2 linked regions of the Arabidopsis thaliana genome follow. The main gene of each other region encodes a partner of the protein of the gene in region 2 in a complex. Each region holds a gene or a part of one and is shown on either strand. Other genes may lie near its edges. The genes, in order: AT4G34660 and AT1G20110.

Region 1 (6,003 bases), on a different chromosome or scaffold from region 2:
ATTTGAAGAGAGAGCAAATCCAGATTCCAAAAATGAAAAGAAGAAGTGAAGAACTAAGACATATAATAAAAAAGGTAAAACATGATAAACAATAAAGATCATCCATCAAAAACGAGTCCAAAACCAGTCACACCAATGGCGACATAACATTAGGTTCTTTTTTTTTTTTGCCAGCGAAAAAACAAACAAATCTATAATCCCCTAAGCTCCGATGATTTCTGTTGGCTCCTCAACCATTGTCTCATCAGCTGGCCTGTCTACCTTCACACCAACATCCTCTGCTGTGTAATCTCCATGCACCTAAAGATAAACCAAAACAAAAAGAGTTAGATTTCATTACATCCTTGGAACCAAGACTAGTGCATCAATGATGAAATTAATGTGACTTCAATCTACCTCCATGAGCTTTCCAAGGTCAAACTTGGGAGCCTTTAGGATCTTCACTTTACGGATGAACACATTCTGCAACGGGTAGATGCCCTGTGTTGCCTTCTCAATCTCTCTTCCAATGGCCTCTGGGATGAACTTGGCCACTAGCTCCTTGAGGTCACAAGATGAAGCCTCCTTCACCATAATCTCACTCATCTTTCTGCGGATCTACAAGAATCAAGAAACATTTACAAGGAAAATGTTAATCTTCTGTTTACAGAAAGCCAAATAGTAAGCACATGGTATGATAATGTTGTAACCTGACGGATTTGGCTGGATTGAGCGTAACAGGTACGCTTCACTTGGTTAGCACGTCTCTTTGTGAAGGCGATGCAGAACATCCTCAAGGTGTAGCCGTCTGTGGTTTTCACATCGACATGGGCTTCAATCAAAGTCTGCCACTTCTTCACCAATGACCTTAGCTTGTCGGTTGTGAAATCCATACCCTACAGAGATCACAGATTAAAAACCGCACTCTGTATCAATATGCCAGTAAAGGAGTGGTCTTTATCTTACCCAGAACTGGGTCAACACATTCCTTCCCTGAACATCTTCAGCTCTAAGACGGATCTTCCTGTAGGCATTATCCTCATCATTTTGTAGATCAGCAAGAGAAACCTCAAACACCCTGTGTTTCAGTCCCTCAGAGGCAATCTGTTTAAATTAAGAGATAGCCCAGATAACAAAGTCAGATTTGTCGAAGAGGAACACGCTCTTTTCTATCACAAATGCAATTCCTATTACTTCAATAATGAAAGCCACCAAGAGCAAATGCCCATCTCTACACCTCACATTCAGCAAATGACCTATGCCATGAGATAACTATAGACTCAAAACCTAGAAAGCTCTAACCTTTCTCCAGTATAGTAATAGAAAGACATAAGACATTACCTTGGTACCCTGAGTCCTGGAAACAAGAGTCTTCCCAACATTCCTGTTCGTGAAAGAACCAGGAGCCTTCACGTCATACCAATCCTTCTTGGAGAAGGGATCAACACTGCACCATCCATAACAATTCAATCACGAACACTATATACAGATTACAATTAGAAATCTGAGAATTTTATTCAGGACATAGGTTACTTACGCCTTCTTCTTTCCTCCTTTCCTACCCTTTGAAATCCTCTTGTTCTTCCTATATGATCAAACAAAAACCTTAAATCAGAACATGATATACTCGAAGCTATGATCAAATGAGAGATTCCAATACAGAGACTGGAGAAACAAGCAAGGAATATAGAGATGCGAAGAGAGATTTACCCGACAGCCATGGTTAAGGGTCTTCTAGATGGTGTAGCGACGACGAGCTACAGTGAGGAAGAAGAAGAAGCGGCTTCAACAAGTGAGAGAAAGCCCTAATTCACTGGCTTTTCATTTATATATGTCTAGGGTTTTGCGTCTTTTTAGTTATTTTGAGATGATATAAATTTATAGCTTACTGGATTTTATTTTCAAGCCCAATGGGCTATTATAGAGAGCCCAATATTAACCTTCTTGGTGAAACAGAGACTTTGTCTATCTTTGATTTCTTCGTGTTCGAAAGCAGAGAAATTTGTTCTGAGCTCAACGCCATTTTTGACGATTTCGAATCTCTGTCTTCTCTGAGTTGTTCCAAGTAATCGGAGGGAACTCGTAAAGTGGAAGAATAGGAGAAAGAGAGAAGGAAGAAGATTTGTGAATAGCTCTTGATCTGGTGAAGAATGGATGCAATTAGAAAACAAGCTAGCAGGTTGAGAGAACAAGTTGCGAGACAGCAGCAGGTTAAAGTTCTTAACTTTTGGTTTGCCCATTTGCTTAGATCCCGATTCTGTATCTTTTTTTCTAGATTTTGTTTTTATCTTCTCTTGTGATTCCGTTGAGTCGTTGGTTTCTGGTGAATGAATCAATAATGTGATGATGATAAAGGGGCTAGCTTTTTTTCGGATCGATGGTTTTTGACTTAATGAGTAATTGGATCTGAGTGTGATTAATACGTTGATTCGATGTGAGATTGGGTAAAATTCTGTAGAATTGGAGAAGTTTTTGTCAAAGGGTAATTTAGGATACTTTTATGTGAGAATCCGTTTCAGTTTTGTGAGCTGGGATTTGAAAGATGTTGTAGTGATAGATTAACATATTGGTGCTACATGTTCCAAGTTACCATGAGATTGGGTGTTTGTGTTCTTGAGTTTGAGGTTAATTAGTACACTGACTTAGTTTTTGTGGAATGGTTAAGGCTGTCTTTAAGCAATTTGGAGGAGGGGGATATGGCTCTGGTTTAGCTGATGAAGCAGAACTCAATCAGCATCAGAAGCTAGAAAAGCTTTACATATCCACTCGTGCTGCTAAGGTTGTTTTTCTTAAGCTTTTGACTAGTTTGAAGTTTTGATTACTATTGATTTTGGACTCATTCGTTCTTCGTTTTCAGCATTACCAAAGAGATATTGTTCGTGGTGTGGAAGGTTATATAGTTACAGGGTCAAAACAAGTTGAAATAGGTGATTTTTTTGACCCTTTGAGTTTTAACTTATTGTATTTTTTTATGTCTGTTATAGACTTGAATTGGCTCACAGGCCTGTCTTTCATTTTGCACTCATTTTTCATCAGGTACGAAATTGTCTGAGGATAGCAGGAAATATGGTTCAGAGAATACATGTACGAATGGTAACGTATTAACACGGGCTGCACTGAACTATGGGCGTGCTCGAGCACAAATGGAGAAGGAACGTGGAAATATGTTGAAGGCTCTTGGTACACAGGTTTGTCTTTTTCATCTTCCATCAAAGTGTTAAGCAATAGCACATATCTGTTGCATGCAATATAACTACACAAATAATTACTTTCCTGCCATTGTTAGTGGAATGACTGCCATTTGTGGGAAGATCTATTTCTTTTATCTGGAATAATTTGTTACATACTCTTTAAAAGTCAATTAATGTCATGGTGTTCACTTGGTTCTTTCTTTATTGCGGTTTGGCTACTACAATCATATGTCAATCCTGAATTTGTTAGGTTGCTGAGCCATTACGGGCAATGGTTTTGGGAGCTCCATTGGAGGATGCTAGACATCTTGCTCAACGCTATGACAGAATGCGCCAAGAAGCTGAAGCTCAGGTACGGTGAAAGATAATACCATGAAGCTATTTAATTACCGTTAGTAGAATATGGGTTTTTTCCTCTTCCAAGAACTAGTCATTTTATTATTCGCATGATAGAACTTTACTTATGCGCCTGCTTTAATCCAAACAGGCTACAGAAGTTGCCAGACGCCAAGCAAAGGCGAGAGAGTCTCAAGGTAATCCTGACATCTTGATGAAACTGGAATCTGCTGAAGCAAAACTTCACGACCTAAAATCAAATATGACAATATTGGGGAAAGAAGCTGCTTCTGCTTTAGCTTCCGTTGAAGATCAACAACAGAAATTGACTCTTGAACGACTTCTTTCAATGGTAGTGCGATTGGTTACAAGATCCATTTCTAGGTCAACTTTGATTTACTTACCCATATGTAACAACTGTATTTTTCATTCCTGATCACAGGTTGAATCTGAACGCGCCTACCATCAAAGAGTCCTCCAAATACTTGATCAGCTCGAAGGAGAGGTTGGTGTGCATTAGTTTTACAGCTTTCAGTTTCCTGTGATAATAGTATTCTTGTCGAACAATCAGTTCATCATTATATGAGTCAACTAAGGACAAAATGGAACATTCTTGAACCTACAGATGGTATCTGAGAGGCAACGTATAGAAGCTCCCTCTACTCCCTCAAGCGCAGACAGTATGCCGCCACCTCCATCATATGAGGAAGCTAATGGAGTGTTTGCATCTCAGATGCATGACACGTCAACAGATAGCATGGGTTACTTCTTAGGAGAGGTATGCTTTTCAGTCTTTAATACCTTCCTTTTAGAGTTAAAACTTTGGTTTATATTGGTAGTAAAAGTATCAAAGAGATAATTGGATTATAAGTTCTCCACGTATGAACTGGATGTACATAAACTGTTTTTGATTAGAGAACCAAAAAGACAGGCTACATCTAGATTCCTTTTGGTCCTCATTGATGTGCCATTATAACATATTATTTCCCTTTTTAAAAACGTTTTCAGGTCTTGTTCCCATATCACGGTGTGACAGATGTCGAGCTCAGCTTATCAACTGGTGAATACGTTGTTGTTAGAAAGGTTCGATAGTAAACCAACTCCCACATGAGAAAAACCAACAAAGTCTCCTTTAATTCATATTAACCAATACGGTTATTCAGTAGTGTTTGTTTGATATACCACTTCTCTATTTGTCATTGCCAGGTTACAGGCAGTGGATGGGCCGAAGGTGAATGCAAAGGCAAAGCTGGTTGGTTCCCTTATGGGTACATTGAAAGACGGGAACGAGTTCTTGCTAGCAAAGTGTCCGAAGTTTTCTGAGAATTTGAAGGTAACATTATGGTTCTTTGTTGGTTATGGAATTGAGTTGCTTCTGTAGAAGAGTTGTGTGTTCTGTAGAAGAAAAAGAAAGAAAAGATTCACGGGCTAAAACAGAAGTCCATATGCATGAGGATCAGAGTTGATGCGGGTTTCTGCCATGTTCTGAATCTAATAGTGATGCCACTTGAACAAGAGTTCAGTTTTTAGGTATTATCTTCATATTGGATTTGGATATTTTCTTTGTCATTTGATGTAAACGCCACATCTCTGTTTATCTTCGTATGTGAATACACTTCTTTTCGGGTCTTATTTGTGATTTTTTGTCCAAATTACTTTCATTTGATAACCTTGAAACTTGATGAAGAAGTGATTATTTTTCAAATTTACGCAAATGATCATACGCTTAAGTGTGTTAGTGCATTATTTAAATATCACTCTGCAATTTATCAAACTTAAACTTCAGTAAGAATTCCGGAAAACCAACATTATGAGCATGATGGTTGAATTTATAACTTCATAAAAATGAGAAAACAGAACAACTGAAAAGGAAGAGAGAAAGAACAGAACATTTTGACGGTTGAAGTCGTAGACAATCTTGAATAGACTATCAATTCAAGATTTGATCAAACATTTCAAAAAAGCTAGAAATTATGTTCATGATGACTTCACAAAATCAGAGTCACTTACATTGGTTTGCTTTGAGATATACAACGACTATGGCCAGTAGAAGCACAAACATTACAACCTGCAATTTCAGGAGTAGATTAGAGGAGGAGGATAAGTAACTTAATCCTATATATGAAAGAATTTCTATGGAAGTCTGATACAAATCTGAACTTACAAAGATAGCCTTGGATTGTGTTTCATCGTTAACATAAGATTTTCTGACCAGCATTAAGAAGAAAAAACAGAAAAAGATTCATTAGAACCTCAACCAAAACATATAAGATCATTCTCGTAATAAATGAACATGACAAGATTGGTCAAGTGACTTTGGATCTTCTTTTATTTGATAGAACAACTAGAAGAAACCAAAAAAAAAACAGTCTACCTTTTGTGAAGTCCTCCATTTTCTTTGCAAAATTTCTTGATGGTTTCGAGTCGGTTTAATGTTTTCATAGCATTTGGATCGTTATTGTCAACCTAATATTAAAACACATACAATCTCATCTTC
Region 2 (6,148 bases):
AAGGAGAGGAAAGTCACCGATAAAGTCCGAAGGGATTTTGCCGTTGCAAAATCTGCCGGTGGGAACTTTATCTGGAAAATTCATGCCATATGGAAGAAAATTAGCTTTGATCAAGGTCAAAATATAATCGTTATTTCCTGTGTCTAAGATCGAATCCCCAAAGGCGAAGATCGCCGGAAACGTAGTGTTATGTGTCCTCTTAGTTGTCGCTGGTGCGGGGTTTGGCCCTGGACTCGGACATGGCTTAGGCTCTGGTGCCGGGGAAGGCCCTGGATTTGGAACTCGCTGTAAGCGGTTTGCTGAAGCATGCATCGTCAAGAGGAAGAAACAAAAGAGTGAGAGAAACAAAACACATCGAGATATTTTCGAACTAGACAAAGAACCAGAAACTCTATCTTGCAACATATTTGCTATATGATCTTATCTGTCTGATAAGTAAAAGAGAATTTTTGCTGTGAAGCTACAAAATATAAAGAGTGGGAGACTAAAGTGTTTTTCACTCAGAAAGAAAGAAAAAAAGTGGACATAAGCATGTGGTTTAGATGGTTATAAGAAGAAGATGCTTGTCTCTTACGACTCCTTCTCATTCACACACTTTGAACTTTTCTTAAATTCAGTTATCCATTACTAATCGCACTCTCATTTTCGTATTACCCTCTAAAACTATAAGACCACAGTTTCTACACTATTCTCTCAAAAGAAAAAAAATACGAGATGATTTTCCAAAAACAACTCGAATAAACACAGCCTCGACCCTCGAGAAAGAACAAGTGTGGACAAGAATATTAAAGCGTTTTATGATACTTAACCTAATTGAATCAATTGAATATGAAAGGAAAGCTTAAAAATTTGGTACACCATTGTAGCACAGTATTTTACACCATTGTAGCATTCATTGATTCGAATCAGAGGATTTGCAATTACCATGGAAGAAGACCAGGTCAACTTGAAACCGCTCTGTTTCGGTTCCAGGCGCAGTATAACATAACGTTTCAAGTGTTTGGACCTAATGGTAGTAAAATACATAATGAACAACGAACCGATTGGACTACATGTGAGTGGTCAGAGAAATTGAAGCAGGAGTAATGACATTGGAGGACTGATACAGTAAATTAACCAATCAGACATCAGTAGGACAACAGACTACATGAAAAGTATAAGATGTTCATCACTCAAAAGACTTTCATATACACACAAAGGGGAAACACCATCCACATGAGACAGGACAAGAACTTATTTTGATGTGATCAAACCCAATTCAATAACCAAATGAACCAAATCTCATACTTATAATTGATATATATGTCAAGCAAAAAAGCGGGTAGGAAGATCAATGTGCGCTAACGAGGAAAGGGTTTTGGCAAACTCCGCACTCAATGGTCTCTGATCCTGAGACTGGAACCTGGACCTGCAATTTAAATGGCAATGCTCTCATAAACGCATACTATCAAGAGACACTACAAACAAGCCAACTTCAAATTCCAATCTGCCTCGAGTTATCTATCAACTTGCTTTAACTATTTATTCAGATGATTAAGCGACAATCTCCATGATCCAATCTTAATAGAAAATCACATCGACCATATGTAACTGTTTAATACTAGAGGTCTCACGTAAGACATAAACATTTCTCTAGCTATTCTATTTCGTCAATGTAGTTTGCAAGATGATCATACACACTGACACAAGTGATTATGAGGACCTCCCTGTTTTCCTTATTCTAGAAAAAATTGGGTCCCAAAATCATACAACGAAAGACATGCTATCAAAGGATCTAACCTGTAAGTGCACAGTGCATGTTGGACAAGCTACTTCTTTCATCCGCCTCCCAGATCCTTCCCTCAAACCTGTTAGAATCATAGCTATCATTGTCAGCAACCATAAAATACCAGAAACAATATATCATAAACATAAGTATATTAGATATGAAAAATTACCAGACGAAGACTTGCGGTTTCTCTCCATTTCCTCCTGTATCAAACATATCCGCCATCAGAAAACAATTATATACTTTGCCCAAGATATTAACTCAACTTGTAAATCATTAAACTTAATAAAGAACCAAGGACGATTAGCTCACCTGTAACTTTCTAGCAAGGTCTTCATGGCTCTGCAGGCTCACATTCCTGCCAGTGGTTTCCTTGGCATTACTCAACCTTTGTGACACTTCTGCCTGCACATCCAGAAACAGATTGAACTTAGAGGCATACGCATAAAAGACAAGATACCAGTTCAAATTAACTTAAAGCTACATTCTCAGGAATCAACGGAACATGATTTCTCAACTTAAGGAAAAATAAACAGACAGATAAGCATACCATGCACCGGTCACAAACACGGACTTGAGGAGCATTATCCTCAGCAGTGAGAGCAATCCTGCCTTGAGTACACTTGTCACAGAAGACGTCACCACAATTCCTGCAGTGGTGCTAGAAAATAAAAAATCCATAAGGTTTGATAGTCCCAACATGGCCAAAAATTTAATTCAGATTGTTAGATCGGGGAAAATAATACCCTTCGTATAAATGCACCGAAATCTGAACCACATGATGTGCACTTAGAAACAGCTTCATCAGGTACCTAAAGCCAAAAATAACATGGAATGAGAACAACATACCACAGCTAAGCAAGAAAATAAGAATCAAGTGATGTAACTAATCACCAAAACTACCCTAGCCCTTTTACTTTGACTACAAGAGAAATGTGTTTTTCTTCCAAAAAAAAAAAAACCTACCCAATGATCTTTCTCCTCATTAACAGGCTTTATAATGTTCATCCAATCACCCAATCCTTTTTTCTTCTCAGCAGTTTGTTCAATCAGTTTTCCAGAGGTGGGAGGCCTGCTACTTCCCCCGATCTCCTTGGCCTAAAACCCACCAACATAAGAACATTGGATTAGTCAAAAGAAATCATGATGGAATTGACATATAGACTTTTAATGAAACAAAATTTGTAAATTTTATGAACCTGAAACATTGCAGCCGTCACAGTGTCCAGAAGGGTGTTGGTGGTGTAACTATTTGATTGCAATCTGATACGTTTAGCTTCAATGTCTACCGGAGTCTTAGACCAGAAAGCCAGAATAGACGAATCTAGTTTCTGATAGAAAGACATTTACAACAATAGATAAGACCTCCAGTCACAAAAATGGAACAAATTCAGTCATAAGAAGAAGGTAGATAATCTCTTACTTCGCATCTTGTGATGTTCTCAAGAGGATATATTCTCAAAGTTCGGCTAGTACTTGGATCAAGCATACGAAGACCATCCAAACCAATCTGCTAGCACAAAACCAATTCACTAAAACTAGTTTAGGTAACACAAAGTTCAAATTGAATTGGGGACATTACCTGACAAAGAACATCTGTTGTGGTTTGTCCATAAGTCTCAGCCAACAATTTGACACGAAATTTCTGCACACCACCAGTGGAATCTTCCTGCACATCAGCCTTAGGAACAGCTCTCACGATCTTAGCAGAATTCGAGCTAACAGAAGAATCTCTCCCTGAAGAAGAAAAGCTAATGGATCGTCCATAATCATCGAACAATGTTGAATTCGATGATTTCGGCGCAGTTCCACGAGAACCGTATGGCTCAACTTTGCCTCCTTGATAAGCATAAACGCCATCGCCATAGGAATCTTCAAAAGCAGGATATTCTCCGCTATCAGATCGTTTTCCGTATAGATCAGATCCTAAATCCGATCTGCTCCGGTTATAACCGTCATAACCAGATTGATCAAATTTCACTGACGGTTTCTCATACGAAGGAGGTATGGATGATCCTCCGCTACTATAAGGAGGTGCAGAGTACAAGGATGATGAATAAGGCGCGGGATTAGGATTCGGCGCAGGCGCAGATGAAGGAGGAGGCGCAGATGAATAGCCAGAGGTTTGATGCTGATCATACGGTGAGTAATACATATGTTGCGAGGTAGGTTGCTGATACGGAGCAGTAGAATCAAATGATCCATAAGAGGATAGAGGTTGTGGATGAATCGTGGGTGGAGGTGGTGGTTGGTTGAAGGTTGAATAAGAATTAGGGTTTAGTGATGTCGCCGGCGGAGAAGGAGGAGGTTGTGATGGTGAAGTGAAGGAAGGAGCTGAAGGAGGGACATGCTCAGAGTTTTGCCCGTAAGGAGTGTAATTCTGTGAATAGTTAGAGTAATCGGCGGAACCGTAACCGCCGGTGAACGGTGGCGCTGATGCGTACGTGTTTCGAGTAAGATCGGTCGGACCAGCTACGGTTGCCGGCGCCGGCGGAGAAGGATTGGGATTAGGATTAGGATTCGGAGTAGGATTTTGAAATTGAGAGTATTGGTGGTGATAGTACGAATTGTAATCTCCCTGTTGCATCGCTGAATCGGTGATCGTCGGCGATGATTTGATCAGATTATATCGGAAATTGGAAACGATGACGAAGATGAAGATGAAAGATAGATCGAGAGAGTCAAGGGAATATTTGGTGAGGGAAGGATTGTCTGTGCCGCGAACTTTTTTGTATATTTAATAATAATACACGTGGCGGTATAATGAACCGTTGATTAGAAGTAAGAGATGGTTTTTTAACGCGTGATGCCCACAGATAATTGTAGCTGTTTTTCTATGCAAGCGTAAGGAACCAAGTCGGACAAGAGACCCATTAATCACAAAGTCAATTAAAATTAATTATTCTCCTCGTATTAACATTGGGTTTTGGGCTTTTGTAGTTTTTGTTAAGCCCAATAATAAAGTTTGGAGTAAGAAAGACGCAAAGGATAAAAAGGGTATTTCAGATGACGTAGCAAACTCGGACCGAGCTTCACGGAGATGATAACGACTAATTGACGGAATAGCCCTTACAAATTAGGGTTTTCACATTATTCTTTCCAAAAACGTAAGTATAGCCCGAGTCGGCGGATCTGAGTGTTTCACGCGTCTTTAAATAGAACCTTACCCTTCACCATTATTTTCTCAACCGCAATTGGTTTTTTTCTTCTTTCTCTCTCTCTCATCGATTAACAAAATCGAATCGAAAAAAAAAATTAGGGTTCTTCTCTCTTCCGTCTCTCGTTATCGATTTCGTTTTGATTTCGCGCCACAAAGAAGAAGTTTCATTAGGCGCGAATCTGAAACCTAGGTTCGATTTAGTTCTGTCCGAATTACTGTCCGTTGTCTTGTCCGTTAGTCGATTCGATCTGAGAAAGAAAGAAAGAGAAGAAGAAAAAACGATGTCACGATATTTCACATCCCCACCGCCTGTGTATGCGAGGAACTGGGCGAACGGTCAAAACTTGGTCGAATGGACTAAGGTTCGTCGAGCACTCAATTCTTGTGATTGATTCGCTACGGTGTCCTCTTGTCTGAACATGGGTTTCTGTGTTCGGTCAGAGTTAAATTTCCTTATAATATCCTCTTTGTAGCCAGATCTCTAGGTTGCATATAAGTTATTGATTGGTTAAATTGTAGGAAAATATCTTCAGCATAGATCTATGAATTGAATCTACACTATACATGTTTTAGCATAATGAATTTCGTTCTTAACGATGTCGTGTAGACATGTATGTTAGTTTGGTTTGGTCTCCAATTATAAAGTCAACCATAAAGACGCGTTGTAGATATATGTTTTGAGTAATTAACATTATGTGTGTTTGTGGTTGAATGATGTTACCCACGTATATGGGTATCTGGTTGTTTGCCTGATAAATCCTTCCTCTAGTCTAAATCCTTTATTCTGATTGGATTATAAAGATCGAAAGACCAATAGTTGATTCTAAAAAGCTGCATCGGAAAGAGAAGAAGGAGAAAAAGAAAGAAAAGAAATTAAAGAAAGAGAAGAAATCCCTTGAACAGAAGTATTCCACAACCAAGACAGTCTCATATGAATCCGAACAGCTTGAGAAATCTTGTTTAACAGAAGAATTTGAGCAACCTCAGGTTGGATATTTGTCTGATGGTAGCCAGAACAGTAAGAAGAGAAGAAGGGAAACTTCTCCTGCTGTTGTTGAGAGTCAAATCAAAGGTTTGTGCTTTGTTTCTTCCCGGATTAGATGAATATCTTTATTGTGTTTGAATACATATACTGAAACAGAGACGTTTAATCATTTGCAGCTACACCTGTAGCTGGTAAACCACTACGGATTCGTATTGTTTTCAAGAAACCGAAAGAA

Evidence for each region.
Region 1: AT1G20110 (region 2) and AT4G34660 share a complex: the UniProt entries of both Arabidopsis thaliana proteins name them as parts of the phosphoinositide 3-kinase (PI3K) complex.

The regions. Positions count from the first base shown.
Region 1 is NC_003075.7:16,544,421-16,550,423, reverse strand, and holds AT4G34660 (SH3 domain-containing protein), read left to right. Parts: upstream 1-1,929; 5' UTR 1,930-2,129; coding exon 2,130-2,189; intron 2,190-2,644; coding exon 2,645-2,758; intron 2,759-2,836; coding exon 2,837-2,906; intron 2,907-3,015; coding exon 3,016-3,167; intron 3,168-3,420; coding exon 3,421-3,522; intron 3,523-3,657; coding exon 3,658-3,858; intron 3,859-3,948; coding exon 3,949-4,011; intron 4,012-4,131; coding exon 4,132-4,284; intron 4,285-4,514; coding exon 4,515-4,589; intron 4,590-4,712; coding exon 4,713-4,829; 3' UTR 4,830-5,234; downstream 5,235-6,003. Other genes in the region: AT4G34670 (Ribosomal protein S3Ae), read right to left, coding at 202-300, 397-597, 690-875, 946-1,083, 1,321-1,426, 1,517-1,564, 1,690-1,700; SQS2 (squalene synthase 2), read right to left, coding at 5,509-5,574, 5,671-5,713, 5,881-5,972. UniProt on the Arabidopsis thaliana protein: Regulator for autophaosome formation and/or maturation.
Region 2 is NC_003070.9:6,969,761-6,975,908, reverse strand, and holds AT1G20110 (RING/FYVE/PHD zinc finger superfamily protein), read right to left. Parts: upstream 4,486-6,148; 5' UTR 4,356-4,485; coding exon 3,351-4,355; intron 3,279-3,350; coding exon 3,192-3,278; intron 3,100-3,191; coding exon 2,968-3,099; intron 2,867-2,967; coding exon 2,735-2,866; intron 2,581-2,734; coding exon 2,515-2,580; intron 2,430-2,514; coding exon 2,319-2,429; intron 2,174-2,318; coding exon 2,081-2,173; intron 1,972-2,080; coding exon 1,938-1,971; intron 1,848-1,937; coding exon 1,780-1,847; intron 1,409-1,779; coding exon 1,331-1,408; 3' UTR 779-1,330; downstream 1-778. Other genes in the region: AT1G20120 (GDSL-like Lipase/Acylhydrolase superfamily protein), read right to left, coding at 18-405; AT1G20100 (DNA ligase-like protein), read left to right, coding at 5,210-5,290, 5,730-6,000, 6,090-6,148. UniProt on the Arabidopsis thaliana protein: Endosomal sorting complex required for transport (ESCRT) component regulating multivesicular body (MVB) protein sorting and plant growth. Required for the formation of intra-luminal vesicles (ILVs)in MVBs.